Linked DNA regions of Oryctolagus cuniculus. The protein of the gene in region 2 interacts with the protein of the main gene of each other region in a biochemical or structural test. Links are inferred from orthologs where the notes say so. Each region holds a gene or a part of one and is shown on either strand. Other genes may lie near its edges.

The links.
Region 1: the proteins of EIF4G1 (region 2) and EIF4A1 form a complex in vitro, tested with the Homo sapiens proteins (3 studies listed by IntAct, with this or other methods). The link is inferred for Oryctolagus cuniculus from reciprocal best matches to the Homo sapiens genes EIF4G1 and EIF4A1.

The regions. Positions count from the first base shown.
Region 1 is NC_091448.1:52,142,472-52,157,714, reverse strand, and holds the end of EIF4A1 (eukaryotic initiation factor 4A-I), read right to left. Parts: intron 15,144-15,243; coding exon 15,095-15,143; intron 14,677-15,094; coding exon 14,544-14,676; intron 14,510-14,543; exon of another isoform or gene 14,378-14,509; intron 14,097-14,377; coding exon 13,957-14,096; intron 13,679-13,956; exon of another isoform or gene 13,534-13,678; intron 13,221-13,533; coding exon 13,052-13,220; intron 12,944-13,051; exon of another isoform or gene 12,797-12,943; intron 12,704-12,796; coding exon 12,594-12,703; intron 12,469-12,593; coding exon 12,325-12,468; intron 12,243-12,324; coding exon 12,105-12,242; intron 12,022-12,104; coding exon 11,932-12,021; intron 11,895-11,931; exon of another isoform or gene 11,751-11,894; intron 11,691-11,750; coding exon 11,611-11,690; intron 11,516-11,610; coding exon 11,371-11,515; 3' UTR 10,845-11,370; downstream 1-10,844. Other genes in the region: SOX15 (transcription factor SOX-15), read left to right, coding at 1,692-2,206, 2,738-2,906; MPDU1 (mannose-P-dolichol utilization defect 1 protein), read right to left, coding at 3,438-3,680, 3,804-3,914, 4,059-4,177, 4,295-4,380, 4,583-4,715, 4,864-4,929, 6,791-6,893; CD68 (macrosialin), read right to left, coding at 8,508-8,644, 8,926-9,096, 9,201-9,279, 9,377-9,496, 9,671-10,110, 10,207-10,252. UniProt on the Homo sapiens protein: ATP-dependent RNA helicase which is a subunit of the eIF4F complex involved in cap recognition and is required for mRNA binding to ribosome.
Region 2 is NC_091435.1:93,894,285-93,909,695, reverse strand, and holds part of EIF4G1 (eukaryotic translation initiation factor 4 gamma 1), read right to left. Parts: intron 14,954-15,411; coding exon 14,841-14,953; intron 14,030-14,840; coding exon 13,937-14,029; intron 13,735-13,936; coding exon 13,668-13,734; intron 13,381-13,667; coding exon 12,556-13,380; intron 12,301-12,555; coding exon 12,212-12,300; intron 12,123-12,211; coding exon 11,936-12,122; intron 11,843-11,935; coding exon 11,709-11,842; intron 11,587-11,708; coding exon 11,428-11,586; intron 11,308-11,427; coding exon of another isoform or gene 11,305-11,307; coding exon 11,119-11,304; intron 10,925-11,118; coding exon 10,727-10,924; intron 10,552-10,726; coding exon 10,405-10,551; intron 10,169-10,404; coding exon 9,932-10,168; intron 9,791-9,931; coding exon 9,686-9,790; intron 9,592-9,685; coding exon 9,432-9,591; intron 9,379-9,431; exon of another isoform or gene 9,303-9,378; intron 9,227-9,302; coding exon 9,126-9,226; intron 8,152-9,125; coding exon 8,049-8,151; intron 7,832-8,048; coding exon 7,729-7,831; intron 7,532-7,728; coding exon 7,299-7,531; intron 7,156-7,298; and 16 more.

The DNA.
Region 1 (15,243 bases), on a different chromosome or scaffold from region 2:
CTCCTCCCATCCTGTACCCCCCATTTCTGGGGCCTCATCACTGTGGAAGACGGGGATAGTAAGGGTGTAAGTGGGTGGGAGGCATGGGGAAGGTTTTGGAGTAGAACCAGGGGTGTGCGGAGGGGGTGACAAGGGCCCCTGGGGGAGGGGGATCAACCTTGTCTGGTGGATGAGAAGGCGTATTTATTTTTCACTGTACAGTATTTAAAAAGAGAATAAAAAAATCCAAATGGCTTTGTAGTTCCTGTGCTTTCCTTGTCCCGGGGGTTTGTTTCTCTAGAACTGATCTGTGTGGCCCTTGCCCTCTGCCCTGTTCTTCTGTAGTTGGCTTCCCCCTCTCAAAGGTGGTCTTGTGGGAATTCCTGACATTCCCAACTGCTTCTGGTGCAGGTGCCCTCCTGGTCCCTAGGAAGTGGCCTGTTCTTGCTGCTGCCCCCTTCCCCCAGTTTGCTGGTAGAGGGAGCCGGGCCACTCCTATACCCTGAGTCACCACACAAGCTAGGCAGGGCCGCTGGGAGCTGGAACCATTCTACTAACAGTTGAGAGCCAAAGCAGGCTGTTTAATCGGATTACCTGAGGCCTGGGGCTTGGGCAGGGCTTGGGCGAATGGGGGAGCAGGGTTTCTTCCCAATAGCCCCTGGAACCCAGGAGTCCAGCCCACTTTCCTGGTGGTCTGCTCTGGCTCCACCATCCCGGGTTTCCCAGTTCCCTCCTTCACACTTGAGCTTGAAGATAAAATTGCAATCATTAAACAGCTGTGGAGAAATCCAGGTCTGGGGGCTAGAGGTGGGAGGAGGGCTTAAGTTTTCTCACCTGGAGAAGGGCTGAATCATCGCCCAAGCACCTGCTGGAATGACTCAGGAAACAAAAATGGCCAACCTCCCTGTGCCGGCCTTCCTGGCCCCAGGGGCAGGTCAGGGGTCTGAGGAGCAATTGGCACCAGAAAAGGGGTTGGGGTGGGGGTGGACTCTTCGCAAGTTCCTTTGAGCCAGTTCTGACCCTCAGGGTGTTTGACCCGCCTGTGCTTGATCTCATTGTGGAAGATAATCGACTTGAATTGCCAATGCTTAAGAAGGGAGGGGAAACCATCAGGACTGGGGCTGCAGGGCCTGCCGAGGCCTTGGGTGGGGAGGGGGCGTGGTGGCCTGCGGGAAGTGGTGGGGGCTGGGAGGAACAGGACACCTGGGTTTGCCTAAGGGAGAGGGGGGTGTTGGAGCCCTGAAGGAGGCGCTGGCTTTGGGAGGGACTGGGGAGGAGCCAGTCTTTAAAAGCTGTTCCTGGGTCTAGCCTGCCAGCCACAGACACTGAGCCCGGGTGGGAGAGGCCTGTGGCACCAGGGCGCCAGGCAGCGGCGGGAACTCGAGAGCCACAGAGCAGCGTTTACTGCCTCACAGGTTTGTCAGGTCGCAGCAGCGGGTAGGGGGAACAGAGGCAGGGCTGGGAACCTCAAGGCCACAAGGAGAATACCTCTCCAGGCCACGGGTACCAGCCAGCAGACCGGCATTCGGCTCTCCCCAGTGCACCGGATTGGTTCAAGACCCCACTTGAACTGTGGACTTGGGGGTGACCTACATTGTTAAGGACCTCAGTTTTGTTCTCTGCGACGACTCAGCCTGGAGAGAGACATTTAAGGATCGCCGCTTCACTTACAGGGGACGGCCTTTGGGACGCCCACTTAAGGCTCCCCCCCCATGGCGCTACCTGGCTCCTCGCAGACCCAGGCCTGGAGCCTGGAGCCCCCCACTCCCGCGGCAGCTAACGCCTCTTGGGGATCCCAGGAGCCAGAGCGAGCTGGCAACCCGGTGGTCTCCGGGGGGCTCCCCCAGGAAAAGGTGAAGCGGCCCATGAACGCATTCATGGTGTGGAGCTCCGCTCAGCGCCGCCAGATGGCGCAGCAGAACCCAAAGATGCACAACTCTGAGATCTCCAAGCGCCTGGGCGCGCAGTGGAAGCAGCTGGGCGAGGAAGAGAAGCGGCCCTTCGTGGAGGAGGCCAAGCGGCTCCGCGCCCGGCACCTGCGCGACTACCCCGATTACAAGTACCGGCCTCGGCGCAAGACCAAGAACTCGGGCGTCGGACCTGCCAACGCCAGCCAGGGAAGCGGCGGCCTGCTCTGGGGGCCAGGATACGCGGCCACCCAAGGCAGCAGAGGCTTCGGGTACCAGCCCCCCAACTACCCGACAGCCTATCTGCCTGCCAACTACAGGTGAGTGCCGAGGAAGCAGACGCTTGGGTGGGGCCGGGAGCCTGGGTAGCGGGTGGGTGGAAACTGGCTGAAGGAGAACCTGAGCCCGGCCCAGGGGCCCTGCAAGGTGGGGTGGGTTACAGTGGTTCAGCTTTTCCCAGAGTGGCCGCCCCGCAGGTGCAGAGACGGACCCCTAGCTGTGAAACTCTTCTAGTTGCTGGGATCCTCACTTCGCCCTGCTTCTGGCCCATGTGTGACCCAGCTTCCTCTCCCAGCCCCCGGGGTAAGGCGAGGCCAAGCACATTATGCCCCTTCCTGGCCTGCTGCCCTGAAAGAGGGAAACAGCCACACAGCACGCAAGCCGGGGCTGCAGCGTGTCCCAACAGGGCCGCACTGCTCTCCAAGCCATCTGGCTGTGCTTCCAAGCGCGCCGGGTGGGGGGCAAGTTGTACCCCTGTCCGCCCAGATTTGGTCTGACCCATCCCAGCATTCAGCTGGTGACACCAACACAGAAAGCAGCCTCTAACCCCCCCTCCCCGTTTCCCTTTGCAGCTCTTCCCACTATAAACCAGAGGCGCCCGTGCCATGCTCCGTCCCTCAGAGCGACCCCAGACTCCAGGCGGAGCTGCTTCCCTCCTACAGCCCCTACCTGCCCCCAGGCTCCCCCAATCCATACAACTCTCCACTTGCAGGCGCCCCCATGCCCCTGGCACACCTCTAACTCCCACGGACACGGGCCTCGTGTTCCCCTTTTCCCTCAGAGCCACCCCCACGCACAAGCTGCACCCCCTCTAGTGTTGGACCACAGCTCAGAGGCTGCCTGCAGCCGGCCCGCTCACAACACACAGGATAAAACTCATTTTGTACAACCGAGCCACGTCTGTCTTTATTGCCCCATCTGCGCCCTCCTCACTCCAGCAGGAGCCTGCACCAGCTCCACTCCCTTCCTCTGGACCTGCCGGAGCAGGAGCCACTGCACCCCACCCTGCCTGAGTCATTCTGTCCCCTTCCCCCACACGCAGCACTGGGGTCCAGGGCAGAGGCAGCCCCAAGTCCCTCCCCTCAGCTCGTCCTCTGGAGCCAGCAGGGAAGTGCAGAGGGCGGGGCAGGACACTGGCCCAGAGGAGGGAGAACTGGAAGTCACTGATTTTAATGTCCAAAGATCAGCTTGGAAGATGACCCCATCCTTACTAAGGATCTGGGTCCCCCAATTTCCACGTCCACCGAAACCCTGGCCCAAGGAATGGAGAGATTAGAACTGCAACTCCCACCAGCAGCCTGGCTTGGGCGGGAGCACCCAGAGGCCGGGTGGATGAATGGAAACACGCAAGCACTCGGCGGCTGTTTCGGCCCTACCGCTCCTTCTTCTGCTCTTGGGGAGCCTGTGCATTCCAGTAGAAGAGGACCTGCGCAGCGATGAGGCCATTGCAGAGAGAGGAGACCACAAAGACGCCAGCCATGAGGTAGTCTCCAGTTTCCTGGTTGTAAAAGGCACCTAAGGTCAGGCTGCAGTGCAGCCCCAAAACCAATCCCCTGGAGACAAAGGTTCCAGAGAGGGCACCAGGTGCAGCCCTCAGCTGGGAGACAGCGCCCTCTAGAGGGGGAAAGGTGCACTCACCTGAATGGAAGTGAAGATCCGGGTCAGGGAGCCCCCGAAGAGCAGGAAGACGGTGACCGCCGAGAGCTGGCCTGTGTGCCCATTGCGGTAGTTGGTGGCTGCCTGGAGTAGCTAGGGCAGGAGCGGTCACCTTTGGTTCTGGCATCTCAACTTTTCCCGTGTCCCATCGCTGGTCCCCCCTCAGTCTGATGCTCCTGCACGGGCACTCTGTCCCTTGATGTTGCCCCCCATCCTCTCCGTTGTTCCAGTACCTACCTTCCCCACCACCACAGCGGGCACGTTGGAGGCCTGCAGCAGGGTGACCACAGCTGTGGGCGTCAGCGGCGAGAGCAGCACCAGCAGGATGAGGGCGTAGCCGGCAAGGAAAGCCGTGCCTAGGGGTCAAGGAGACAAGCAGGCCTCGCAACCTCTCCATGTGTCCCACTCCCCCCGGCCCGAGTCCCATCAGGGTTCCCAAGAGCTGCAGCCGCTCCTGGCTAAGTCCCCAGCACCTTTCGCAGTGTGTCCTCTGTAGTGCATGACCAGGAAGCAGATGGTGAGCGTCTGGAGCATCAGAAACAGGGCTTCACCCCAAGAGCTGCAGAGTCAAGAGTTGGGAGGAAAAAAGGCAGGCCTGGAAAGAGGCAGGGCAAGCCTCCAGAGCTGTGCCTCCAGGGCCGCCGCCCTCCACGCCCACCCGAGCCGTCCTCACCTCTAAGAGGGTTAAGCTCTCCTGCGCCTTTGCCTCCCTCCCCGTGACCCCCAGCAGAGTGGGGGCCATGTTCCCTTGGGGCCCTCACCTGAATGGGAAGCTGTTGGTGATGCTGTAGACCACGGTGCCCGTCAGTGCCACGAGGTCCAGCACCACGGACTGGAGGCTCAGGCCTTCGGCACTCTTGGCCCCCAGGAGTTTCAACACCTGGGGGAGCTTCACTGGGTGGGGGAAGACGAGCAGGGCTGAGGACAGCAGCGCCGGGAGCACTGGGGGTGCAGCGCCCGCTTCCCGCCGGGCTGGCCAGCCCAGCCTCTCAGTCCCTCCACCCGCCCAGTGACAGGAGCGGAGGGACGACACCCCACCTACCTAGAAGTGAGCCGGCCACGATGCCCAGCCCCAGCCCCTTGCTGAGGAGAATCTTGAGGCAGGGCACTGAGGAGAGAGAGGTGAGCGGGAGGGTGCGTCACGTGGCAGGGGAGGCCGCTTCTGGCTTGAGCGGATGGGTCCCCACCACCCACGTGGGAGACCTGGCGGAGCCCCTGGTTCCCAGCTTCAGGTTGCCCCAGCCAGGCCCAGCTGATGCAGGCGCCTGGGGAGTGAATGAGATCTTTGTGTCTGTCAGTGAGTGGCCTCTAAACTAGGCCTAACTTCCAAGCTTTCCCTGGTCTCCCTTCACAAAGCTGAGTGAGCCCGAGTGCCCTGGGACCCTTGCTGGTGGCCCCGTGTGCACATCTTCCCTCCAAGGGCAGGTCTCCATGTTGCTCCTTTCTCAACTCTGACTGGCCCAGGTCCCTGGCCCAGACTCAACTCAATGTTTATTTGGCTCACTAGGCTAATCCTCCGCCTTGCGGCGCTGGCACACCGGGTTCTAGTCCCGGCCGGGGCGCTGGATTCTGTCCCGGTTGCCCCTCTTCCAGGCCAGCTCTCTGCTGTGGCCCGGGAGTGCAGTGGAGGATGGCCCAAGTGCTTGGGCCCTGCACCCCATGGGAGACCAGGAGGAAGCACCTGGCTCCCGCCATCGGATCAGCGCGGTGCGCCAGCCGTGGCGGCCATTGGAGGGTGAACCAACAGCAAAGGAAGACCTTTCTCTCTGTCTCTCTCACTGTCCACTCTGCCTGTCAAAAAAAAAAAAAAAAAAAAAAATTTATTTATGGGGCCAGTGCGGCGGTGCAGCGGGTTAGAGCCTACAGTGCCGGCATCCTATATGGGTGCCAGTTGGAGTCCCGGCTGCTCCACTTCCCATCCAGCCCCCTGCTGTGGCCTGGGAAAGCAGCAGAGCACAGCCCAAATCCTTGGGTCCCTGCACCCGCGTGGGAGACCTGGAAGAAGCTCCTGGCTCCTGTGCAGCTCTGGCCGTTGTGGCCATCTGGGGAGTGAACCAGTGGATGAAAGACCTCTCTCTGTAACTCTTTCAAATAAATAAATATTTTATCTGAAAGGCAGTGAAGGAAGGAGGGAGGGAGGGAGAGGAGACCTCCCACCTGCTGGTCCCACTCACCAAACCACCAGGGCTGGACCAGGCTTTAATTAGGTGCCTGAAACTCAATCTGGGTCGCCAACTTGGGTGGCGGGGCCAAGGACTTGAGCCAGCACCTGCTGCCTCCCACGCTGCGCAACAGCAGGAAGCGGGGTTGGAAGCGGGGGCGGGACTTAATCCCAGGCACGGATATGGGATGCGGGCGTCCCAAACCTGCTGCACCTGTGCCTGCCCCTTGGCCTTGGCAACCCACAACTTCTCCAGCCTTGAGGCCTTCCCCTAGAGCTAGGGCGTCAGGCTGACAGGTGCACCCAAGCGTTCCGTGCGCACAGGGGAGGGAAGACCGCGGCGGCATCGCCAAGGGGTGAAAGTCCTGAGGGAACCCTGCTGTGGAGCTGCCTCTTACTCGGGACGGGAGGGGAATTTTACCAAAATTAGATCACGAGCAAACGTGGAGGCCGAATGAGCAATTCGGGCGTCAGTGGCCTTTGGGAAGGCTTTCAACTAAGCTTAGCTCTGCTGGCGACCTTACAGACGTTAGAATGCTTTGGTCCGATTTGTATTGTTTTGTAAATTTGAGCCTTTTGGACTTTCACTGTTGCTAAAGTGCACGTCGGCCGGGCTACTCCCCCCTCCCCTTGCCCAAATATGGGGACCCCTTTTTTCGGAGGCCGAGACACTTCCGCCCTCTCAGAAGCGTCTTCCGCTCCGCGCAGCCTGGCCGCCGCAGCCGCCGCCGTCACCTCGTCTCTAGTCGCCCCACCGTCGTCCACAGTCGCTCGAGCAGGACTTTACTGAATGCTGAATAAAACTCACCATGAAGCAAGTCCCACTGAAGGAAAAGTCGGTCGTAGCATTTCTCAGGTAAAAGAATCGGCACCAGTAGCCGTTTGAGCAGTCCTTCTGCCTCCGACGCCATGTTGGAAAGCGAGCTTCCGCCAGTCTCTCTCAAGCCGTCATTGACTGATGGTGCGCATGCGCGCTCCGAGCACTCCGCCTTCCTTTCTTTTCTCGCGATGACTAAGTTGCACCGCCCCTCGTTCCTCGCCGTTTCTTACGCCACCCTCGCTTCAGGAGCGTGAAATAGGTCACGGCCGGAGACCGCGCTTTGGAGGCGCCCGGCTGTTTGGCTTTTAAAGCGTGTCAGAAGTGCACGCTTGCGCAGTCAGATCTTTCGCGCTTTTGTTTGCGCTCGCACTTCGGAAGCAACATTTAGTCCCCTGCCTTTCTCCGCTCCTCCCGCTAGGCGCCATCTTGTCTCCTCTTTGCCAACTTTACACGCGTATTGTTCCAAGTTGAGAGAGGGTGTTTGAGTCTCCAAAATGGCGTTGGGCGGGGGCGCTGTAGCTCTGTGTCTTCCGTTCTTTTGGCCTCTCTAGAGGGAACCAGGCCTCTGGGAGGTCTCCTTAGGCCCGGGGCTGGCTGCGCTCAAGGCCCCATGCTTCTGCCGCCTGTTTGGCCGAGGCCTTGGAGGATGGGCGCGCCAGAACTGCAGTGGCCCGGTGACGACGCAAGACAACAAGTCGGGGTGGGTAGCCCCGGAGACACTAGGTGGGGTGCAGGGACTGCTCCAGCCCCGCACCACGTGCCGAGTGGGCCCAACAGCACCACCTGGGAACGGCCCCCCGACCCGGCCCGGCCCGCGGTGCGGCCTCGTGCTGCAGCCTTTCAGCTCGTGGGGTTCCTGCAGAAACAGGGGCGCCTGTCCAGGCCCCCAACAGCGGGGCCACGGCGTGCCACGGCCTACTGAAGAGAGAACGACTGGCACTCAGGCGCAGGTGGGAGCCCAGTGGCAGGTGTTTGTTAGCCGGACATCGGCTGCTCTGCAGGTGACACTGTTGCCCGCCTCCCCGTCCCCCTGTACTGGTGGCCCAGACTAGGGACATCCGTTTAGCCAGGAACGTGGAGGGGAAGTGCGTGGAGGTGCCCAGAGCTGCGGCGGATGCAGCCAGCCCGCGGCAGGTGCAGCGCGAGCCTCCCAGGTCTAACAGCGGATTCATGGGGCTCTCCCGCCAGCCCTGGGCGCAGCGGGCAGCCCCTGGTGCTCCGCCTGGAGATGAAACTCCATCACCGCCCTCAGTGCCGTGCCTGGAACTACCTGGGGCTGGTCAGAGGCTGCGGGGGTGGAGGGTGGGGACAGCGGCCTGGACCAGCCAGTGCACCCAGAAGAGGAAGGAGGGGAGGCCTGGCCGATTCAGCATGGACTGTGTCGGGCCTTCAGGGGGCGAGCCAGAGAGCGCAGGGCGTTGGGTCCCAGATGCCGTTTAGCCCTGTGTGGCTCTGTGACTCAGCCGGGGTTGGCACAGACAGGCATGTGACAAGAAACTCATGGCTTTTAATCCTGTCAGCACAGGGGGAACCCAGGACGAAGATCCGAGTTTTCACTGCTCTTCTCCTGGGGGCTGGGGGTGTCGCGTGTAATAAAACTCTCTCCTCCCTCCCGACTGCACAGTCCCCGTGTTTGTTCCTCCCTGCCCTCGAGTCAGTTGCCTGGTGGGGCACAGGGCTGGTGCCCTGGGGGCCGGGCCGGTGTTCAGAGGGCCTGGTAGGCCGACGGGCGTCTCCGGGCGATGCAGAAGGCCACGAGCACCAGAGCGAGGAGGCCGACGAGGATCAGGCCGATGATGAGGGGCACCAAGATGGACGGGTGGTCCGCGGGGCAGGAGAAGCCTGGCAGAAAGACAGGGCGGTCAGCATGGCTCCCGAGGGGGGCAGGGGACTCCAATTCCTAGGAGCTGGGAGAGCATTAAGGAAAAGCACCAAGTGGGCCCGCGAGGGCAGCTGCCCTACAGCCTCGATGAGCAGTGGAGGGAGGAAGCTTGGTCCTAGATAGGACACCTGTACAGGCGTACATGGAGCAGTAAATGCACGGGGCTTCAAATGGATTAAGAAGGGAGGGGACTCTGGGCGCAGCGGGAGATTTTCGGAGACAAGCAGGAGGTAGGTCTTACTCGGCCCGAAGATCCCGGTGCGGGGCAGCTGAGCAGCCTGGACCCTCAGCGAGAGCAGGTCGAGGTGGAGAGCTGGGGAAACAGCGATGCTGGCGTTTCTGCAGCTGAAGCTCTGCCCCAGCGGTGCTTGGAGATCTCGAAGGGACGCATTCTGGGCCGAGAATGTCCACCCTGAAGGGGTGAGGGGTGGGGGGCGGGGGTCAGTGGCTACCCACCGCCCCAGCCCCGGCTCTGCCCCCTCAGTGCTAGGGTGAGAAGGGGGAGGAGCTGCTCACGTGCTGCCTGGGGGAAGGACACGTTGTACTCCACAGCCAGGTAGCTCAGGTAGACCGCGCTCTGGCCCTGCCCTGGGTCCTGCAAGGTGAACAGGAAGGTGTGGCCTCCCATGCCTACCAAGGAAGGGGTGCAGCGAGGGCAAGTGGAGGAGGAAGGCGAGGTCGTGAAGCCATACCTGCTTGAATCCAAAGCTGAGCTGTCCATAGGGGAAGGAGAGGAGCAGGTGGGGACGGGGACCCTCACAGCCCCCCTGGGCCTTGGTTCTGTTGGGGTTCAGCACAGACATGCCCCATGCCTGTGGAAGTTAAATAACGCGGGGGTCATGAGACTACATGACTTTGCTCCTCGAGGTTCCCTGTTTTCTCCATCCCCAGCCTGTTTTTGTCCTCTCTCCTCTTCCTCTTCCCCTTGAATCAAGGCAGGACGGGCTACCTTCCCCTTGTCCGCCCGCCTCCCATTTCAGCTTTACCTGTCCGCCGCCCTGGGTTGGGTACAGAACTCGGATCTGAATCTGGGCTTGGAGTTGGACGCAGGGCTGCGAGCCGTTAGTCCACGTGTAGTTCCCAACCGCTTCTCTGGAGCCTGGGCTAGGACTTGGAGGGGGTGGAGGTGGTCCTGGGTGGGGGGTGCTGGTGGAGAATCCAGGGCTGGTCCCGGTGGTGGTGGTGGTGTTGCTGGTCGTGGGATGAACCGTGACATTTCCGTGGCCAGTGGTAGGAGTGGCAGTTGTAGGTCTGTGGCTGGTGGTGCCTGGGGTGGCAGTGCTGTGACTGGTGGTGTGGGGGTTCTTGGTAGTCCTGTGGCTGGTTGTTCCAGAGCTCGCTGTGCTTTCTGTGGCTGTAGGTGTCACCGTGAAGGATGGCAGCAGAGTGGCTGCCTTCTTGTGAGGCCAAGGCCATGTCCCCTGGGCTTTCAGCAGAGGGAACAAAGAAGCTGGTCAGCGACCCAGAAAGGGCTGGCTTCCTCAAGTTCCCCCTCCGTGCCCCCTTCTTACCCCCTTCTTACCTGCGTGTAGCCCCAGCAAGGCCAGGAAAAGCACAGGCAGCCTCATGGCAGATCCACCTCACCTAATGCCGACTCTCAACTGGACACCAGTTGCTCAGCCCTCTTCCCTCTTCCCTCTCTTGGGAAAGGAAATGAAAGTCTCTTACTTCCTGCAACAGATGATCCCACCCCCAGGCTGACTCAAGCACCACGGGCTCCAGCCACCAATCTCTTAGTCACTAGTCATTTGTTAGGGGACTATTGGCCCCAGCTCACGAGTGGGAGGTGTCAAGGCCAAAGTCAAGGCTGTCCCATGACTACAGAATGATGGAGCCGTGAGGCAGTTGATTGGTGGGGCCCGTTTGTCACCCTTAGCAAACCTCACTAGGCAGTTAGGGCCAGTGGTTCTAACCAGCCCCTATAGCCAGCAGGCCCCTCCTCTGGCCAGCCCCTTTCCACACACCATGCTTCATGACTTCCTCCTAGCGAGACATGTGACCACTTATGACAGCACACACCCAAGCCCTCAGTAGCTCCTATTATCCTATTACAACTTTCTGGACCTAGAAAATGGCTTCTTCTGGTAACTTCTAGGTAGTTAAGGTAGCTGACATACCCAGTAGCAGGTAGGAGGGAAGGAAGAAATGAGAAGCCCAACAGGCAGTTTCCAAGTCATTTTATTCAGAATTTCGTGTTTGCTTCCTGAATCAATAAATACTATACAAAACAATGTAAAAATGGCTACCACTTTCTCTCCCCTGCTCCCCCAGCTGGGTTCAATCACTGGGCAACCTCACTAGGGGCTGCTCCTTGCATGTTTGGTCCGGCACATGAGGTTGAGTGACTTGTTTTTGGCCCCTGAATCAAGTTCGGAGGGATTCAGCTGGGGTGGGAGAGCCTCTGGGACCTGGAGGTGACTAGGTTAGGGAAATGGATTAGTGTTTTTTTTTTTGTTTTTTTGGGAGGAGACGGCGCCTGGGGCAAGAGCCTACCCCAAAGAAAAGGGTTTCTAAAATGGTCACGGTTCCTTCTTTTGCCTCAAAAAGTGACATTTATTCAAAGAAAAAAAAAAAGAAAAAAATGACAAGATGTCCATCCCTTGGCTCCCTCCCCTCCCCCCTCCTGCTGCTCCTCAGCCCCTGAGGACTGAACCCCAGCTGGGGCTAGGTGGCAGGACAGCCCCTCTCAGATGAGGTCAGCAACATTGAGGGGCATCTCCTCAATGGAGGTGTTGTAGAAGGTCTCGATGTCTCGGAGAGTCCGCTTATCTTCTTCTGTCACCATGTTAATAGCCACACCCTTACGGCCAAAGCGTCCACCACGGCCAATTCTGAAACACAAGGATACATTGCAAGCATTGAGGGATGTCCAAAGCTTCCGCCCAGGATGCAGGGGGCTAGGCAGGAGGTCCAGACCCACACTCACCTGTGAATATAGTTTTCCCTGTTGGTGGGAAGGTCATAGTTGATGACTAAAGAAACTTGCTGTACATCAATGCCTCTGGCCTATGTGGAGACAGAGAAGAATTCAGTGCACACAGTCCATCCGGAAGGGGCTCAGTGAGTGCATGTAGGCAGCCCAAGGCAGGCAAAGGAAGCAAGCGGCCCCTTGTCTCTGAGAGCCCTTGGGCATGCCGGATTTTCTTCCAAGTTGCTACTTTCCTGAGAGAGGCACTAGTCGGGCCCCTGGGAGAGGGAATCACCTTGGATTCTTCTGCCTTCCAGCGCTGGAAATCCCCCTACTCACCAGCAGGTCAGTGGTAATCAGTACTCGGCTAGAGCCAGAGCGGAACTCCCTCATGATCACATCTCGCTCCTTTTGGTCCATATCTCCGTGCTAGGGGAGAAAACCGAAGGTTAGCGATCGAGACGAGCACAGGGGAGCTGGGCTCACACAGGCTGGCGTGCGAGGATGCTCACCATGGCAGAGACGGTGAAGTCCCGGGCGTGCATCTTCTCAGTGAGCCAATCGACCTTCCTTCGAGTGTTGATGAAGATGACAGCCTGGGTTATGGTCAGGGTTTCGTACAAGTCACATAGTGTGTCCAGCTTCCACTCCTGGAGGTTGGGGCGAATAGTCAGTCAGGGGCTATACTCAACAGGTCCCCACCCGGGCCCGCCTCCTGCACCCAGGCCCCACCTCGCGTTCCACGTTGATGTAGAACTGGCGGATACCCTCCAGCGTCAGCTCCTCCTTCTTGACAAGAATCCGGATGGGGTCCCTCATGAACTTCTTGGTCACCTCGAGCACATCGGAAGGCATTGTAGCTGACAACAAAACCACCTGGTGAAACACAGACCAGCCTCAGGGTAGGCGATGCTGCAGGACGCCCGCCCCGTCCCCAGTCCCACAGAAGGTGCGAGACGCGAGGGCTCTCCCGGCAGCTCCTCCAGCACTGCCTTTCTCACCTGGGTGTTGCTGTTGAGCTTCTGGAAGATGTCATAGATCTGGTCCTTGAATCCACGGCTTAACATTTCATCAGCTTCGTCCAGTACAAACATCTTGATGTACTTGGGAGCTGTAGGCATGGAAGAAATACTACTATGTAGTAGCTTGGGAAACAGGCAATATATCCAACTTTCTTGAAGAACAGGGGAGACAGAGGCAGTCTGCTCTCAGAATACAGAGATTGATCCTTTGCCCAGGGCTGCCCTGGAGGCCAATCAACAGCCCCAGGAAGTAGAACACTCCCTGGGCTTGGGCTGAGAGGACAGGGAAGCCAGGGCTCAGCTGACACGCATGGGGTTCATCACAGAGCAGCTTTCAGGGGAGGGAGAACGAGCGGCCTTGGGAACGAAGCTGGCCGACAAGGAGGGCTTGGCTAAGGTGAGGGGGATACAGGGCAGTGGAAAATTGAGCTACTCACACAGGTATCTCCGGTTAAGCATGTCGAACACGCGGCCAGGGGTGCCCACGATGATGTGCGGAGCTTCCATCTGCAGCTTCTGCACCTCAGCACGCACATTGGTGCCCCCGATGCAGGCGTGACAGGACGCACCCATGTAATCTCCTAATGCCATGACCACCTTTTGTATCTGAACCAGAGAGAGGTGGGTGTGCAGCTGTTAGCTACAACCGTGGCAGGTCCCATCTCACTTTTCCACGGATTTGGTCTTCCCAACAACCATGATACATGTAACTGAACCCTCAGCTTCTGAAAACTGTGGTCTATTTATTTACCCGCTTCATAGCCAGTTTAAAGAGCCACATGACACACACACGGCCAACTACACCCTTGCCCCCAAACACAAGCCACACGACCCGTTCAGTCTTAACAGGCTTACTATCACTTCTTGGTTACAGTATCTGCGCCCGGTTCCCATCAGAATAATCACTTCTACCATCAGGGTTTGTGCCCTAGGCATGAAACAGCTCTGGCCACCAGTACAGGCATCAAGCTAGGATGAACAAAGGACTGCGCATCTGCTCTGCCCCTGACTGATATAAGAGCAGCACCACGAACGAGGTGTCTCTTTGCCCATTGCCAGGGGTGGGGGGTGTGCATAAACAGTCACCCAACTTGCCTAGCCAGTCAGGCCCGGCCCAGCAGTGTTGTCATTTGACTCAGGAAATGGGTGGAGAAGTGGCAGCTGTTACGTTTGGGTAGGAAATGACATATAATTAACCCAGCTAAAAATCACCGCCCCATCCCACCCCACCCCACCCCACCCCACCCCACCCCCCGAGCATCCTCTTCCTCCTTGGAAGTAACCCCCCGGGATTTTAGGCTATGCTCATTATTCCTCCAGGAGAAAGAAGCCACGTTCTCACCTGTTGGGCCAATTCCCGAGTGGGTGCTAGTACCAAGGCCTGGGTGGCCTTCAGATCCAATTCAATCTGCTGGAGAATCGATATGGCGAATGTGGCCGTCTTCCCAGTCCCAGATTGGGCTTGAGCGATCACATCATAACCTAGACAGACAAGAAATGAGATCTGGCGGAGAACTTGCACTTTGGGCTCATGGGACAGTCAAATCCTGACTTACGCCTAACTCAATGAGCTGAGATCAACAAGCAACCAATCATGAATGACGCCTTAAGTGCCTTACAAACCTTCCCCACCACAGTATGGTGACATAACGGGGGCAAATCCAGAGAACGATCAGGCTACCAACTCTAGCATTGCACTAAGCCAGAAAACAGGGCTGTGAGAACTGTGTACAACAGTACCTCATTAAAGGCAAGCCAGCAGTCCGTGTGTCCCAGGCATGACCCAGGCATGGGCACAGACCAAAAGCCAAGCTGGGATAAACAAGGGTTTGCTTTGTCCCTGGCTGATAGATGGGCACCACTAACCCAAAGCCATTCTACCCCAGTCAGGGACAGTGCCAGATCCGTTCTGGGGCCAAAAGGTCTCACCCTTGATACAAGGAAGAATGGCACGCTGCTGGATGGCAGAGGGCTTCTCAAAACCATAGGCATAGATGCCACGAAGGAGGGATTCAGAGAGGTTCATGTCGTCAAAGCTGTCAACGATCTCATTCCAGTTACTCTGTAGGAGGCAAGGAAACAGAAGCTTTATCAGTGAGTACAGGCTGTGCTTCAGCAAACACCAACTGGTGCCTGGGCCAGCGCTTTGGAGCCCACAACCCTGACACCTTGGAGGGAGGCCGCTGGTTCCAGGTAGGCTGGGAAGTCACTCTAAGGGGCCAGTCCACTTTAGCTGTGAGGTTGGAGGGGCATGAATGGCACGTTTCACACCTAGCCTCAGGAATACTAATCGATTCACTACAAACCATGGTCAAGACTCCTTTGGGGCAGAGCTGTACTATCGGGGTTACACTATGTCCTCGGGATTCGCACTGAATTCTGGTGACCCAAGACCCAAGTCTCTTCTACTCCAGGAACCAGGGGACAGAGAGAGCGGCCTCTCAGAGGTGGAGGGCAGTGGTGGCAGGTTCCAGTCTCACCTCGATGACACCTTCGGGCTCCATTCCATCGGGGCCATTGTCTCTGGATCTGTTGATTCAAAGAATGGATTTTGTGCCCTGCCTGCCTGAACCACGCCAGACATCCTGACAGTCAGGCTCTATCAGCAGCCGGCCAAGCATGATGCCAT
Region 2 (15,411 bases):
CCTGTCATTTGTGTCTGACCAGTCCAGAGTGACTAGGTCTGACAGGACGTTAATCTCATGGTCGAAGAGATTGGTGTGCAGGAATGAGTCACTCAGCCATTGGAAAAAAAAAAAACATGAACTCGCCTAGCCTCACCTTGGCAGCTTCTAATTTCTCCACTCAAGATATCTTTAATGGGGAAAAATGCACAGAATTGATGCTCCTGATTTTGGGGAATCCAAGTCATAAATGTTGAGGGTATAATCTAGAACATTCACTGAGCCCCAAACATCTCAACAAAAACTCTTGGTCCCAATTCTTTGTTCCCATATACCCTTCTCTAGCCCTGGACGCATCTGCAGGTGCTACCCCCCTTGCCAGGACCATCCTCTCTCGTCACCTTCCTGGAATTCTTCAAGACTCAACCGGACACTCTGCGTCACTGTTCACCACCTCGCTGCGAGGCAGCCTTTCCCAAGCACTTGTCTTATCCCCTGAACACAACCTACCCGAGTCCCCACAATGAACTACCAGTCTTCCTAAACCAAACTGCACATTCCTAAAACCAGAGGGCAGTAGAGTAAGCGAAGTGAAACAGCACAGAACTACAGTCAGACCTGCCAAGTCCCTGACCGAGTCAGGACTCCACGAGGGCACTCTCCCCCTCCAATGCACACAGCTGGGCCCCCGCCACTCACCCCAGCCCCACCCCGGCCCAGACTCTGATCCCAGAAGAATGGCTCATCTTCCACTTGCCCCACAGTGGCACTCCCAATCCCAGGCACACCACCTTGTGGATCCTATACAATCAATGTCCACCCAGCCCTCTAACCAAACAAAGACTCTGTCTCATAACACTCAAGAAGATTGTCTATACTTGCTGTTTTCCATTCTTCTTGTTTTACTCAAGTATTTCTCAATCCTTTCCAATCCAGAGCCCTCCCCCGACCCCACCAAATAGTTTCTGCTGTGGTGGTCACCCCGATTTTAGATCCCAGAGCCCCTTAATTTTCAGTCATGTCCCTATGAACTTTAGGCGCATCTGGGACTTCCACTTTGTTCACAGGGCTCAGCCTTCCTCTGATCTCTACCTGTGTGTGCACCACCTCCACAGGATCCTATCCCCAGGCCTCACCACTTCCTCAGACAACCCCATTCCTTCCTCCTAGGCCTTGCACACCTAAACCTCTAAGAGCAACTCAGAGCTGCCCCCTGCCCTGCCCTCTTCCTCTTCCCAGATGGACCGACACCCAGCTACTGACATCTTGGCTCTTCTCACACAGCGAGCGCTGACAACTTGTTCCAGTGTTCCCGATCCCAGCACCACACCATTGTCTCACCTGCTGAAGCCATCCTGAGAGTCCTTCATGACTCCCAGTCTCTCACGGCCCCCTCCCCAGGCTGGTGTGACCAAGAGCTGCTAACCTCACTTCCAGAGTTATTTAACTCTGCCCACCGCTCCTCCCTCACCTCTACTGTCACCAGCCAGGCTGAGCCACCAGTGCCAGTCCTGCCACATTCACTTATACCACCCCAAACCCTTCTTCTCACTGTGGCAGGATGATCAAGATAGCAGTCCTACACAACACGGGCCCTGTCTCTCTCCAGCCCCATCCTGCGTTTGCTTAAAAGCTCCCTCCCTACTTCCCACTGGTCACTTGGCCAATTTCCTAGTCACCACTCCTGAGACTAGTGTGCTTGCAGACAGCACCCCCACCTCATCACTCCCCGTCAGCACGAGACCTGCAGCTGGCCTAGTCGCTGTGAGCACCCCAATGCCCTGATAACACACAGCTATTACTCAAGTGCATAACCTCACCCATGTAACCAAGATTCAGCCTCTCAATACAGAAAACAGGGGTAACACCATCTACCCTAAACAACCATGGTGACAACTAAATGAGGCAGGCAAGCTGAGCCTCCGGCCCTGTGCCAGACAGCCATGGCACATGGCAGCCCCTGACAGATGCTATCATGTTCTCACCTTTACTGCTGCTATCTAACAGATACTAAGCACAAAGCAGTCAGTCCATTAACCTTCAAGGCTAAGTCCAACTTCCTCCATTTGTAGACAGAGAAATAAAGTTAGGGAGAAGGCACCAAACCATCAGGGCACTATCAGCCTTTCGCGGACTGAGACCCTTCCCTGACTACTCTCTGCTCTCCAGTGGTCCCTCCAGCCCACCCCCATCCCCGAGGCCTGGCTCTTACTGGCGGGCTGTTCTAAGGTCACTACAAGGGCCTGGAGGGCATAGAGTGCTTGCAGCTCCTTCTGCTCATCACACAGGTATTTCTGTAGCAGTTTCGCTCGCGCTTTCAGCACTGCGACATCCACGCGGAGGGGAGTCTCAACTGCAGGAAAGAAGACAGGGGCAAGTGAAATAATAGTTCATAAGCTGTTTCAGACCTAGGAGGCAAAGGCTGAACCCCTCACCCTGCTCCCACCACCTCCCTGGCTCCTCTTACAGATAATTGCCGAATAGCAGACAGCCGTCATGAGGGCTCGAACTAATGTGTTGGATGCTATCTGCTGCTCACTCAGGTTGGCCTGCACAAGAGACACATGGTCCACAGGTTGAAAATCAGGCCCAAGGTCCACTCCTGCACCCCCAAACTTCACTCTAAGAAAACCCTCCCGCTCATCCCCCCACCTCACACCTCTATCCAGTCGAACACTCGCTGGTTACTGCTGCCCTCCTTCAGCAGCTTCTCCAGCTGCCTGCTCAGCTCCTCAGAGGACAGTGCCCTCTGGCCAGGGGCTTCGGACTCCTCTCCCAGGGTATACTCCACCTTCTGCAATCAAAAAGACCCAGTCAACAGGTCCCCTGTGCCACCTGAGAGATGAAGGCAGAGGGAGAAGACTGGCCAGGCCCAGAAGCTAAAATTAACCTAACTCCAGCCCCAAACCTGTTCAGTGATGAATGCACCGACATCCTGGCCTTCAGGCAGAAATTCTTTCCAGCTGAGCCCAGCCTCACGCCACAATATGCCCACTTTTTTGGGGCCCTGGAAAAATACAAGACCAGTTCAGCCACCCCGTCTCTCCAAGGACCAAACAGCTCCACAACAATCATCCAGCAGGTACTCACTGAAAGCCCACTAGGTACCTGCTGGAAGCTAAGGACGGCAGAGGTACCCCATAGACACAACCCTTCCACGCCCTGAAGTCCAGTGCAGGGCAGACATCAGATACCCACACAGATAAACAGGAACTCGTCTACCACAGTACTGCCAGTAGGATGAGGGAAAGGCCCTCAAAACCGTGAACAAGCAAATGCAAATACCCTCCTCCCTCCTAGTCTTCCAACGTCACCAGAAAGTCTCAAAAGCAGATACACCCTCACCCCCACAACACAAACCAGAAATTCCCACAAAAACAGTAATGCAGGGCTGGCCCTGTGGCACTCGTGGGTTAAGCCGTGCTTGCAATGACAGCATCCCATCCCAGAGCACTGGTTCAAGTCCTGGCCACTCAGCTTCCCTTCCAGTTCCCTACAAATGAGGCTAGAAAAGCAGTGAATGATGGTCCAAGTACCTGGGACTCTGCCAGCCACGTGAGAAACCAGGATGGAGGTACGGGCTCCCGGCTTTAGCCTGGCTATTGTGGCTTTTTGGGGAGTGAACCAGCAGATGAAGAGATCCTTCCCTTCCTCCTTCCTTCCCTCCCTCTCTCTCCATGTGCGCGCACGTGTGTGTGTAACTCTTTAAAATAAATAAGTAAATCTTAAATAGCAGCCTGAGCCCATTTTCTTTAAGGAGCAAGAGACCCCACAGGTATCACTTTTTTTTTTTTTTTTTTTGACAGGCAGAGTGGACAGTGAGAGAGAGAGACAGAGAGAAAGGTCTTCCTTTTGCCGTTGGTTCACCCTCCAATGGGCGCTGCGGCCGGCGCACCGCGCTGATCCAATGGCAGGAGCCAGGTGCTTCTCCTGGTCTCCCATGGGGTGCAGGGCCCAAGCACCTGGGCCATCCTCCACTGCACTCCCTGGCCACAGCAGAGGGCTGGCCTGGAAGAGGGGCAACTGGGACAGAATCCGGCGCCCCGACCGGGACTAGAACCCGGTGCGCCGGCGCCGCTAGGCGGAGGATTAGCCTAGTGAGCCGCAGCGCCGGCCGGTATCACTTTTATAACAAAAAATACGCAGAGTGATGATATTAGCTGTTAATTTCATGGGGCCGACGCTGTGGCACAGTAGGTTAATCCTCCGCCTGTTGCGGCAGCATCCCATATGGGCGCCCATTCTAGTCCCAGCTGCTTCTCTTCCAATCTAGCTCTTTTCTGTGGCCTGGTAAAGCAGTATAAGATAGCCCAAGTGCTTGGGCCCCTGCACCCACATGGGAGACCGGGAAGAAGCACCTGGCTCCTGGTTTCGGATTGGCGCAGCTCCGGACGTATTGGCCATTTGGGGAGTGAACCAACAAAAGGAAAACCTTTCTCTCTGTCTCTCCCTCTCACTGTCTCTAACTCTACCTCCAAAATAATTAAGTAAAATATTTAAAACAAAATTTCATGATTCTATTTTAAATGATTTCTTCATATTTTAAACACTGTAAGTAAGACACATCACAGCTGATACACTACTACATTTTAAAAATAAGACCATGAGTCTTTTTTCTTAGCAATGCATCAGTAAGAAATCTTCCAATCCACAGCACCTTAGATCAATGACATATGCTTCTTGACTTACAATGGGGCTACGTTTCAAAACAAAGCAACCAACCTGGGGTCAGCGCTGTGGCGTAGCAGGTAAAGCCACTGCCTGCAGTGCCTCCCATATGGGTGCCGGTTTGAGTCCCGGCTGCTCCACTTCCAATCCAGCTCTCTGCTATGGCCTGAGAAAGCAGCAGAAGATGGCCCAAGTACTTGGAACCCTGCACCTGCGTAGGAGACCCAGAGGAAGCTCCTGGCTTCAGATCGTCCCAGCTCCGGCCACTGTGGCCATCTGGGGAGTGAACCATTGGATGGAAGACCTCTTTCTCTCTCCCTGCCTCTTGTAACTCTGCCTTTCAAATAAGTACATTCTAAAAAAAAAAAAAAAAAAAAAAAGAACATTCTAAGTCAAAAATACCCTAAACTGAAAATGCACTCGATACCTTGAAAAACCTATCACAAAGCTGAAAAATCCTAAATTGAAACCCTCATAAATTAAGGACCGTAGGTACAGAAAGAGTATAATATGCTTATTTTATGAACAGAAACTGTCCTGGTACGTATGTTTACCTACCTAAAAGGACCATCTGACACTGAGAGAATAAGTCCTTTTAACCCAGTCTCTTTCCTGCAGGTACCAGAGAGGTATATTGTTTTGAAACTGCATGTTCCAGTTTCTCACAACCACACCCAAACAGCCTTTCCCCATCTTGCCACCTTTACACTCACCAATCAACTTTCATAAAGCAACTTCAGTGCCCTTCAAAGAAAGCCTTCTTGCATGAACACTGCAAATGCTGGTGAGCAACCTCACAGTACTTGAGACATTCCGTTTCAACTTACTTCACACTGGTGTTTTAAAACAAAATTTACTTGAAAAATAGAGAATGCTCCCATCCACTGGTTCACTCCCCAAATGCCCCTAACAGCTGGAGCCAGATAGAGGCCAATCAAGAGCTGGGACCACAACCCATGTTTCCCAAGTGGATGGCATAAACCGAATTAACTGAGCCATCACCAGTACCACTTGGGGTCTGCATTAGCAACAAACTGGAACCGGGAGAGCTGGGAATCAAGTCCAGACACTCAGGATGGGACATAAGCATTTTTAACCACTAGGCCAAATGGCTACCCCACTCCTAGGCTACCATTTCTTATTTTCTTTACCAACTTGTTTCCTAGCCCCTGCTGTATCCCAATGTTAAGTACATGGTAAATATTCAAAGAAATGCTAACTGAGTGCGTGAGAACAATCAATGAGTCGGTCGCAGGCCTATGTTCTACACTGCCACTCTTTCTCCAGCTTTGGCCAGAACTCATGGCAGCAAGTGTCTGAGGTCACTGCCCACCCAACATTTCCTCTTTCAGCTATGAGCATGGTCCTGCTGTCACCATTACTCCATCCCAAAGGAACATGGATGCTTCAGGACCACCACAAGCAGCCAAACCACATCTGAGGCGTTCTGAACACAGCCTCCGAAAGGCCTCACTCACCATGCTTTTGCACAGGAGTCGCAGGATCTCCAGCAACAGGGAAGCAGCTTTGCCCAAAGGTCTCAAATGCTTTGTAATCTCCCTAGGAAAAGAGAAAAGCCCAACGTTGCCAGCTTCCACATCCAGACATCCCCAGCTGTTCCATCACCCAACCCCTTTCTACCAGTTTCTACCTCCCCCCAATTCCAAGAGGGGGCTTACCTGAACAGCTCCCCCATGGGCACACCACCTTCCTGCATAATGGGTGTTACTAGTTCCGCTAGGTAGAGCCACACATGGGGTATGTCAATTTCCATGTCCTCAGCCAATTCTAGGATCTCATACAGCCTGCAAAGGTAATTCCAAGTCATCATTCCAGGGAGACAAGCCAGGAAAAATATAGCAAGAACCAAATGCAGAGCCCCAAGAACACTTTTTAGACAGGGGCAACTACCTCAAGCTAAGACCACCTTCTTGTCTTAGATGGCTCATTGCCCCTTACCACTCCTAAATTACTGTTCACCAAGATGCTGGGGAGCTTCCACTCCGATACAGGGTTCGTCGGATCCCACATAGGAGACAGGAAATTTGTAGGTATGTGAATGGAGGAGGGCCATGGAAATCAGCCATACCCTTGGTAGTACTGAGCAGTGGAGAGGTGGCCAGCACAGAGTAGCTGGTGCAGCAGCTGCCCCATACGCTCACGAGCAATGGCACTGCGCTCCAGTGTGGACTCAATGCCATGTCGCACAAAGATGAAGAGTAGAGAGGGTGAGGCCAGTTCCTGGACACACTGCACCGCCTCCTGAGGAGCACAGGGCATGGGAGAGAACAAGGTCACGGTCTGGTCAGTAGGCGGCACCTCCATGCCTAACGTGGCTACCCGCTCAATCGGCAACCCCTCAGACCTCTCCCCACCCCGTACTGCCTACCTTCATGTCGTTGAGATGGAGGTATTCCTCAATGATGGCCTTGGATTTCTTCTCCAGCTCCTCTTCAGAGAGTGCAGCCTTCGGCGAGCTCACAGGGGGCAGGGCGGCTTCCCGCTTTGCTGTAGCAAGAAAACACAGATCAAAGATACTCTTCACTTTCAGGCTCTCTAACACACAGTCTGGAGCTCTCAAGAGATTTGCAGGCCAGGTTGTCCCAAACCAGCCAACAGCCTCCCCCACCACTCCTCTCCCGGCCTCTCACCCGCATCCCGCCCTCGGTCCCGATCCTCTGTGAGGCTAGCTGCCTTGCGCAGTCCCTCGGGCTGGGAGGGCCGTTCTCGACTCCGTTCCTCCACTTCCTTGCTGAAGCTCCGCTTGGTGGCCGGTGTCCGTGCGCGGTCCAGCCGGTCCCCTCGGTCACCTCCCCGTTCACTCCGCTCTAGGCGGTCTCCTCGGTCCCCAGCTTTCTCACCTCGTTCCCGACTCAAGCTACTCCTGGAAGAAAGACAGGCAAGCCATTCCTCACGCGTATTGCCCAGGCATTCGCTGACAACATGCATTCGTGGCATCAGGAATATGCCTCAATCTCAGCCAGGGGACCCAGGTACTGCAAGTAGAAGTTCCCATCCTACAGCAACAAGTGAAACCCAGCTGCCACACTCTGTGTGAAGATGACACGTACGAAATCTCACCTCTGTACCACTCGTCTGTTATCCGTGCTTTCTGTGGGTACTGCTTGTTGAAGGGCTGAAAAGCGATTCAAGGTACTGGTAGCTGGACGAGAAACTTCCGATGCTAGGGAGACCGAAAACCCTAATTAAGCTCTCTTCCCGTTTCTTCCTTTATCTCCCCTACTTGTCATTTAGGACACGTGGTCCCAGGGCCAGGATAAAGGAGCCATCTTTGGAACCACATACATCATCTTCTGGATGATCCTGAAACTCTAGGCAAGGCTCTGCCTTCAAGGGAGCACAGACTGCAACCACCCAGTTCCACACGGCGGCCTCCATACCTGCGTCTGAGGGCTTGGCTCCTGAGCCTCCGCTGCTGCCTTTGCCCCAGCTCAGGCGCCCTCCAGGTGCAAAGAGCTGGTTGTTAGAATCGATAGAGCCAGGCTGAGGAAAGAAAGGGAGCAGAGAGCCATGGGTCTGGCCTGGCCAAAGCCTCTGATCAGCACTACCACACACGGTCACACAGGTAGTAAATGGCCCAGACCAGTGATTAGGCAAACCTTTTCTGTGAAAAGGCCAGCCAGTAAAGATTTAGGCTTCCAAGTCTCTACTGCAACCACCCAATTCTGCCACTGTAGCATGCTTGTAGCTACAGATGACACTTAAAGGAATGAATGCAACTACATTCCAATACACTGTCTACAGACAGTAAAATTTTAAGATTTACGTTACTTTCACATTATCACGCCATCTTCTGATTTTCCTCCACCATTTAAAACATAAAAACCATTCTCAGCTCACGGGATGCACAGAAGCAGGCAATAAGCTAGATCTGGCATGCTTGTCACTTTGCTGGCGCCTGGCCAGACCAATGGGAATACATCTCCCAGAGCTCACAGTCCTGGCTCCAGCATTCTAACCAGTTATTTTAAAAGGAAGACTACATTGTCACCTTCCTAACTTTAAAAAAGGGGACCAAGAGCCGGCGCCGTGGCTCAATAGGCTAATCCTCCACCTTGCGGCGCCGGCACACCGGGTTCTAGTCCCGGTCGGGGCACCGGATTCTGTCCCGGTTGCCCCTCTTCCAGGCCAGCTCTCTGCTATGGCCAGGGAGTGCAGTGGAGGATGGCCCAGGTGCTTGGGCCCTGCACCCCATGGGAGACCAGGAAAAGCACCTGGATCCTGGCTCCTGCCATCGATCAGCACGGTGCGCCGGCTGCAGCGGCGGCCATTGGAGGGTGAACCAACGGCAAAAGGAAGACCTTTCTCTCTCTGTCTCTCTCTCACTGTCCACTCTGCCTGTCAAAAAAAAAAAAAAAAAAAAAAGGGGACCAAGATCCAAACCCAAGCTGAACACCTGCTCAATCCCTCTTCATACTCTGGCTCACTTGCATCACCCATCCAGCACACATCCCTACCTTCGTGATCTTGGTGAGTCGTGAGGTGTCAATGGGACGGCTGCCTTTGCTGATGGGGACTGTATTCCAGCCACCATCGTCCACAAGTGGAAGGCCACGGCCTGGGACAAAGAGGGGCATACTGGAATCACAAGTAAATTCCAACAGCCCCACCCCCTCAGGAATCCCCAACTTCTCTTCCTCAGATCCTCAGTTCCATCATGAGGACTCAGTGGCCCAGACACGTGGCACTATCAGAAAGTCATCAACGGAAAGCACGATTTGGTTCCTTCACTGCCCCCTCCTCAACCCCAGCCTCAAACTCACTGATGGGTGGGCCGGGAGGGCCACCCCGACGCTTGTCACTGCCCTTGGCCATGAGCTGCTGCACTTTGATGTGTTCCCTATGCTCCTCCATTTCAGCCTCCTTGTGGATCTGGTCAATGGTCTTGGGACCCTGATCCCCTCGCCGTGGCACCCAATTGCTCTGCAGGGACAGGAAGCCAGTCGCAATCATCGGGGGGAGGGAGGTGAAGGGGCCAGACAAGGCAGCGTCGGGAAGTGGAGGAGGGGACACACACCTGTCGGAGATCTAGTACGTCCTGCAGCATAAAGCGGATTCGGGATGAAGTCTTCTTTTCTTTAATGATTTTTTCCATCTGGTTGAAATACTGATCCATTCGGGGCTAGGAAGAAGCAAAAGCAATCAGCTCAGGAACTTTCAGCATCTCACATCTAGTTACCAGCCCTCAGCAGCCCAGACTCACCAGCCAAACAAGGCAACAGTGGGCTTCAGCCCCACCCTGCCCACAGCCCAGAATCCTTACCTTGGCTTTTTCAAAATCCAGGTCTTTGCCAATGGTAGTGAGCAGACGGCATAGGCATTCCAGAGACTCTTCATCATGGTTCTTAAGTAGTTTGACCACACAGTCGTGCATTATTGCCTCTGTTAACATCTTCAGCTTGAACAACTCGCCAATAAACTTGATATTTCCTAAGGAGCGCCGCCGGGCTATGTCCCGAGCCTCTTCCAGCTCTTCCTTCAGGCGTCCCCGCTCCTCTGCCTGTCAGTCATGGGACAGGGATCGCGTCAAAGATGCCCAGTTACTCAACTAAAACTTTTCTCCTCTGCTATCTCAATATCCATCTAGCAGTAAGCATGATGTCCTGAGGCAGAGAAACTCCCAACACACCACTGTCCCCACCTGACTTAGCCTCATCACAGTTCTACAGCCGAGGAGCAGCTGGGGGAAGGGAAGGCAGTGAGTGGGCTACAAACTTCAGGTGGGCTTTTTCTTACCGTAGCAGCTTCATCCATCTCCTTTTGCTTTTTTTCAAAAACCTCATCATCATCCTTGTCCTTCTCAAATTCCTTCTGACACCGATTCAACAACAGTTTCCGGAAGTTCACAGTCACTGTTGGCTTTTCTGTAGTGGGCACTTTCAGCTGTATGTCAAAGAGAACGTCACACTCAGACTAGCCCAGGGCAAGGAGATTCCCCCAAGAAGACCTCTGACCTCAGCTTTGCCGCCCCCACCCCCAAGCTGCCATCCAAAGCACAGGCTGGAGAACCAAAAAGCTGGGAAGCTGGACCATGAAACTGAGAAAACTGGTAACTAACCGCCATGAGGCAGCGGCACATGTTGGCATAGGCCACTGAGAAGTTGGGTTCTGAAATGGCCTTCTCAAAGATGAGGTCAATGACCCCTTTGAGGCGCTCCTCGGTGTCGATGGCCAGCTGCGTCACCTGCTTCATCAGCTGCTGGAACATCTGGGGTGTCAGCTTATTCAAGATGGAGCGCACCCTGCGGAACAGGTCCTGGCGGGGAGAGGGGACAAACACAAAGGGTCCAGAGAGGTCCTCAGAATAGGGGTAGGGTAGCTGAGAGGAAGAGGCGGGCAGGGACTTTGGCAGATGCTAGTGATAAGTTCAGACAGCCACAGAGGTCAAAGTCAGCTCAGACGGTACTCTGTGGAGCAGGAATGGAGACCAGACGCAGGACTTGCCAGTACCTGGGTTTTGCTGCCATCAGCATCCTCTTCCCCTCGATCCTTATCAGCCGCCGTCCGCTTGCTGCTGGGTTTCCAGGCCTTCTCTGCTTTGTTCAGTTTTATATCTTCAGTCATTATCACTGAGGCAATGATCTTGCGGGGCTCCTTTCGGGGGCCTGGCTGAGAGCGCCGGGGACCCAGGCCAGCCTGCTAAGCAAGGGAGGAAGACAAGGGAAAAACACACAACTGCTCAGCACATGTGACACCAACGCTGACGTGTCCCCATCCTGCCCCCTTGCCCACCTGTGTCTTCAGCCAGCCCCCACTCACCGGCCCTCGGGGCAGCTCCCCACCTGGCCCACCCCTTGGGGGCCCGCGGCTGCTCAGGGCTGGTCGGCCAAGGTTGGCAAAAGATGGGGTGAAGTCTGGGCCGCAATTTATGCCTGATAGTCTGGAGGGATCCAGCGGCCGTAGTGGCGTCTTATTGGCCTGTGAAGAGAAGACGGAAGGCCTCACGAGCTGGCTAAGGCTTCTGATTACTTCTGAGGATCTCAGGCGCCTCCCCACTCCATCCAACCCACACTTGCCCTCCTCCCCCTCAACGCACCAACCTTGTCCAACACCACATCACTGATATGGGGCAACCCCTCCGGCTTCTGCATACTGGCAAAGATGAACTGAAAGCCAAGCAGGAACTCACGGTCGTAACGCTTTTTCTCCTCAAGGTTTAGAGGCCTCCACTGATCTGCAAGAAGAGAGGATGAACCACTGATATGCTTGTCTCCTGATGCGCTGGTAAGCACCTGCAGCCCTTTTCAACCCTCCCCCTCCAGCCTACCTGACTTGTACTCATACTTCTGTTCCCCAGGCTGGATGTTCTCAGCATTGTGAATTTTGTCTTCCTTTGCGTCCCAGGTCTCATCTGCTTCCTCAGGCCGGGAGGGCCCACTGCTGCCCTCTGACTCTGGTGTTGGATTGTTGCCTGCAGGAGGCTGATTCTCCACCTCTGGCACTGCCGGGTTCACCTGGAACAAGGGCACAGCCCAGTTTGGATCACAGAATGACCAGTTTCATACCCAGACTGTGCTCGCTCTCCGACCTTCTGCTTCCTTACCTCTTTGAAAGCATCTAGAAGGTCTCCCACAGCCTCCTTTTTGTTGAGCTCCTTAATTTTCCGTCTCCTCTTTGGCACAGATACTGCCACTAATTGAAAAAAAGAAAAGGAGGGGTGGGAATGATTTTTAAGGAATACTGTTAACCCCAGGGTAAAATAAAAAGCAGCCCAGTACATGATTTCCTCCTTCCATCACTATGTCCAGGCTTTACAAAGTCCTTCCTGGAGCTCTTAGGTTCCATCATAGGCGTCTATGACCAGACACAATGGCACACAAGGCAGATGATCAGCCAAGAGGAGCAACCACGCCCCCAGGCCAGCCCCGCCTCCACCATCCACTTTACCTTGGGTGGCTGCTACTGCCTCCACATTCTGGGGTAAGTGGGCAGGGACAGGGGTGCTCTCTGTGGGATGTAGGTCCTCTCCTCCCTTCTCACTCTCAGCTTCTCCTGCTTCTCCCTCTTCCTCTTCTTCCTCTTCCTCCCCTTCTTCCTCCTGAGCAGGGGAAGTAGCTGGGGGAGCTGTAGCTGGAGTGGCAGAGGGAACGGCAGGGGGAGTCGCAGACGCTGTATCCTCCTTGGCCTGGTCCTCGGGCTCACAGACTGGGCTTAAGTCCACAGCTGGTGGCGAGGGGGCTCCATTGAGCAGTTCTTCGGGTTGGGTGGTTGGAGCAATAGGCACAGGGGATTCAGAGGGGCAAGCTGGAGGAGGGGGAGGAGCAAGCTCTGGGCTTGACTCCACCTCTGGTTCCAGATCCTCAGATGGGACCACGCCATTAGGCTCATGAATTTCCATCTTGTGAGATGCCAGTGGGGTGAGAACCTGGATAGGACTGGAAGAGAACTCAGACACTGGAACTGGTTTGCTGAGTGTCACTTCAACTTCCAGTATGGGTTCAGCAAGAGGAGTGGGCTCTGGAGAGAGGCAATATGGCTCTCCAGCTTCACGGGAGATGGGGGCTGGTTCTTCCACGGGCATCTGTATCATCCCCGATGTCATAGTGTCCCCAGGAAGAGAGAGGACCGCAAGATTAGGCTCAGACCCCGGTTCCAAGATCGGGGGTGGTGATGGAGTCGGAGAAGGTGATGAAGGCTGGGATTCTGAAGGGCTGTGCTCTGGGCCAGGCAGCCCTGGCCGGCCCCCGATGATTGCTCCTTGTGACCGGTCATCTACACCACAGGAAGGAAAAATTAGTAACCAAAGGTAAATCCTTCAGTGCTACTACTATTCCTCCTCTCAGCCAAAGTATTCCTCACTTAACACCCTTATCCCAATCTTCCCCCACCCACGCTACTTTCCCATTCTCATCTAAAACACAACTGACCCTGACAATCCCACTGCCTGGAAACCTAAGTCACCATCTAGCACCCAGCTCGAGTCACCCCCACCACCTCGGCACTCTAAACTGTCACATTCCATTTCCCCAGGAAAGCTCCGCCTCACCCTGCCTACTTACCTGGCCGGACGATGACAGCAACCTGGGGCGTCTCCCCGTTAGCCTGAGGCTCCACACCACCTCCAGTCTGCAGGACACAAAGGGTTACCAAATTTGCACTGAAGACTTCCACAACCCTTCTCTACTAGAACAATTTCTACTCTAGCTCTGCCAAGAAGGCCAGGAGAGCAGGCAATCAACCCCTTAGTTGAGGAAAAGATGAAGGGACTTAGGAGTGCAGGGAAGCACAGCCATTCCAGCCAAGGTATTACTCAAAGAGCAGACAATACCTGGGGAGGGGTGGGTGTGGAGGCAGTGCGGGCCCCTGACATAATCTCCTCCGTGATATCCTTCCCTCCTTGGTTTGGATCTCGAATTCGGATCTGAGGAAAGAAAGCTATGGGATGAGTGGGAAGCAGGAGGAGCCCCCTCTCCACCCTGCCCCACTCCTAAGACTCTGGGTCAACCCTCCACCCCCCACTGGAAGCAGGTGGGTGGGTGCCAGAAACCCCATGAGTTCTACTGTCAACCCATCTAGCTGCTCTTGTAGTCCCTGCCCTAGCCCCCACCCCCAAGAGACCTTTGACCTCACAGAGCAGCCTGTACATCACAATGCCCCTCCCTCTCTCACCCCTGCCCCACCGGCAATCCCCAAGTTAGTGCCTGCACACCCTGGGCCCCAGGACCCCCATCAAGCACCCATCCAAGCTCACTTGTAGCTAGTCTGCCTGATCTCTGGGGGCAGGCCCAGATCCAGTGGGTGGAGCCAGGGTGACTCAGCGGCTTCCCCAGCCCTGGCACCCTATTCTGGGCACCACGCCCAGGGCTGAGGACTGAGCAGAGGCGGAGGCCTCAAGAGCTTCCAGGACTGGGAGTGGGGGGTGGGGCCACAGAAAACAAACCACTTCCAAGGCAAGCCACCAGAATATCCAGCACCCCAGGACCACCAGGAACTGCACCCTCGGCCATGTCGGTCTCCCTAGGAGATGCTTCTAAGCCAAAAGCTGGTGCGTTGCAAAAAAGAGGCCCCAAGTGTTCCACAGAAACCACTCCCCACCCTACCCAAGTCTGCCTATTCCCGGCCAAAGACCTCCTTCCTCAACCTCCTGCTCCCTCAAGCACAATGCCCCAGTAGTGCCTGAGCTTCACTCGCCCCTTCCCAGACCCTCCCCAGAGCCCTCCCCTGCCACTCACCGTTTTTCGCTCCCTCTTGGGAGCAATCTGGGGTGGCTGGTTCATCAAAACCGGCGCAGGGGCCACACCAGCGGGAAACTGCTGCACACCTTGGGCTGGGTAGTAGGCACCAGCTTGGGGGAGGGGACAGAAAGAAGAATGGTGGCAGCGTCAGGACCCAACCATATACTAATGCTTGAACACCTCCCACCCCCAGAACCTCTCATCACTCACAGCCAGCCCACTGCCCTGCCCCGCCCTCCTCCCCCAGGGAATTAGGTGTCTGTCAAAGCTGGGGAACCAGTCTACACTGCGTTTACAAGAATTCCTGACACTGACACACACACGCCTTGTAAGAAGGCACTCCTTCCCCACCACATGCTTGCTAGCAGGAGGGCGCAGGTCTGTTCTACTCTCCAAGATACTCCTGTGCATACACCCCCCCCCCCCCAAAGCAACACACATACCACTCTGAATCTGAAAGAAACTCAGTCTCTGGCTAGGAATGAGAAAAAGATGTGCTAAGCCTGTTCCACTCAACCTTAGTCTCCTTCCAGTATCCAGCCCTTTGCAGAGGGGCAAGGAAACAAAA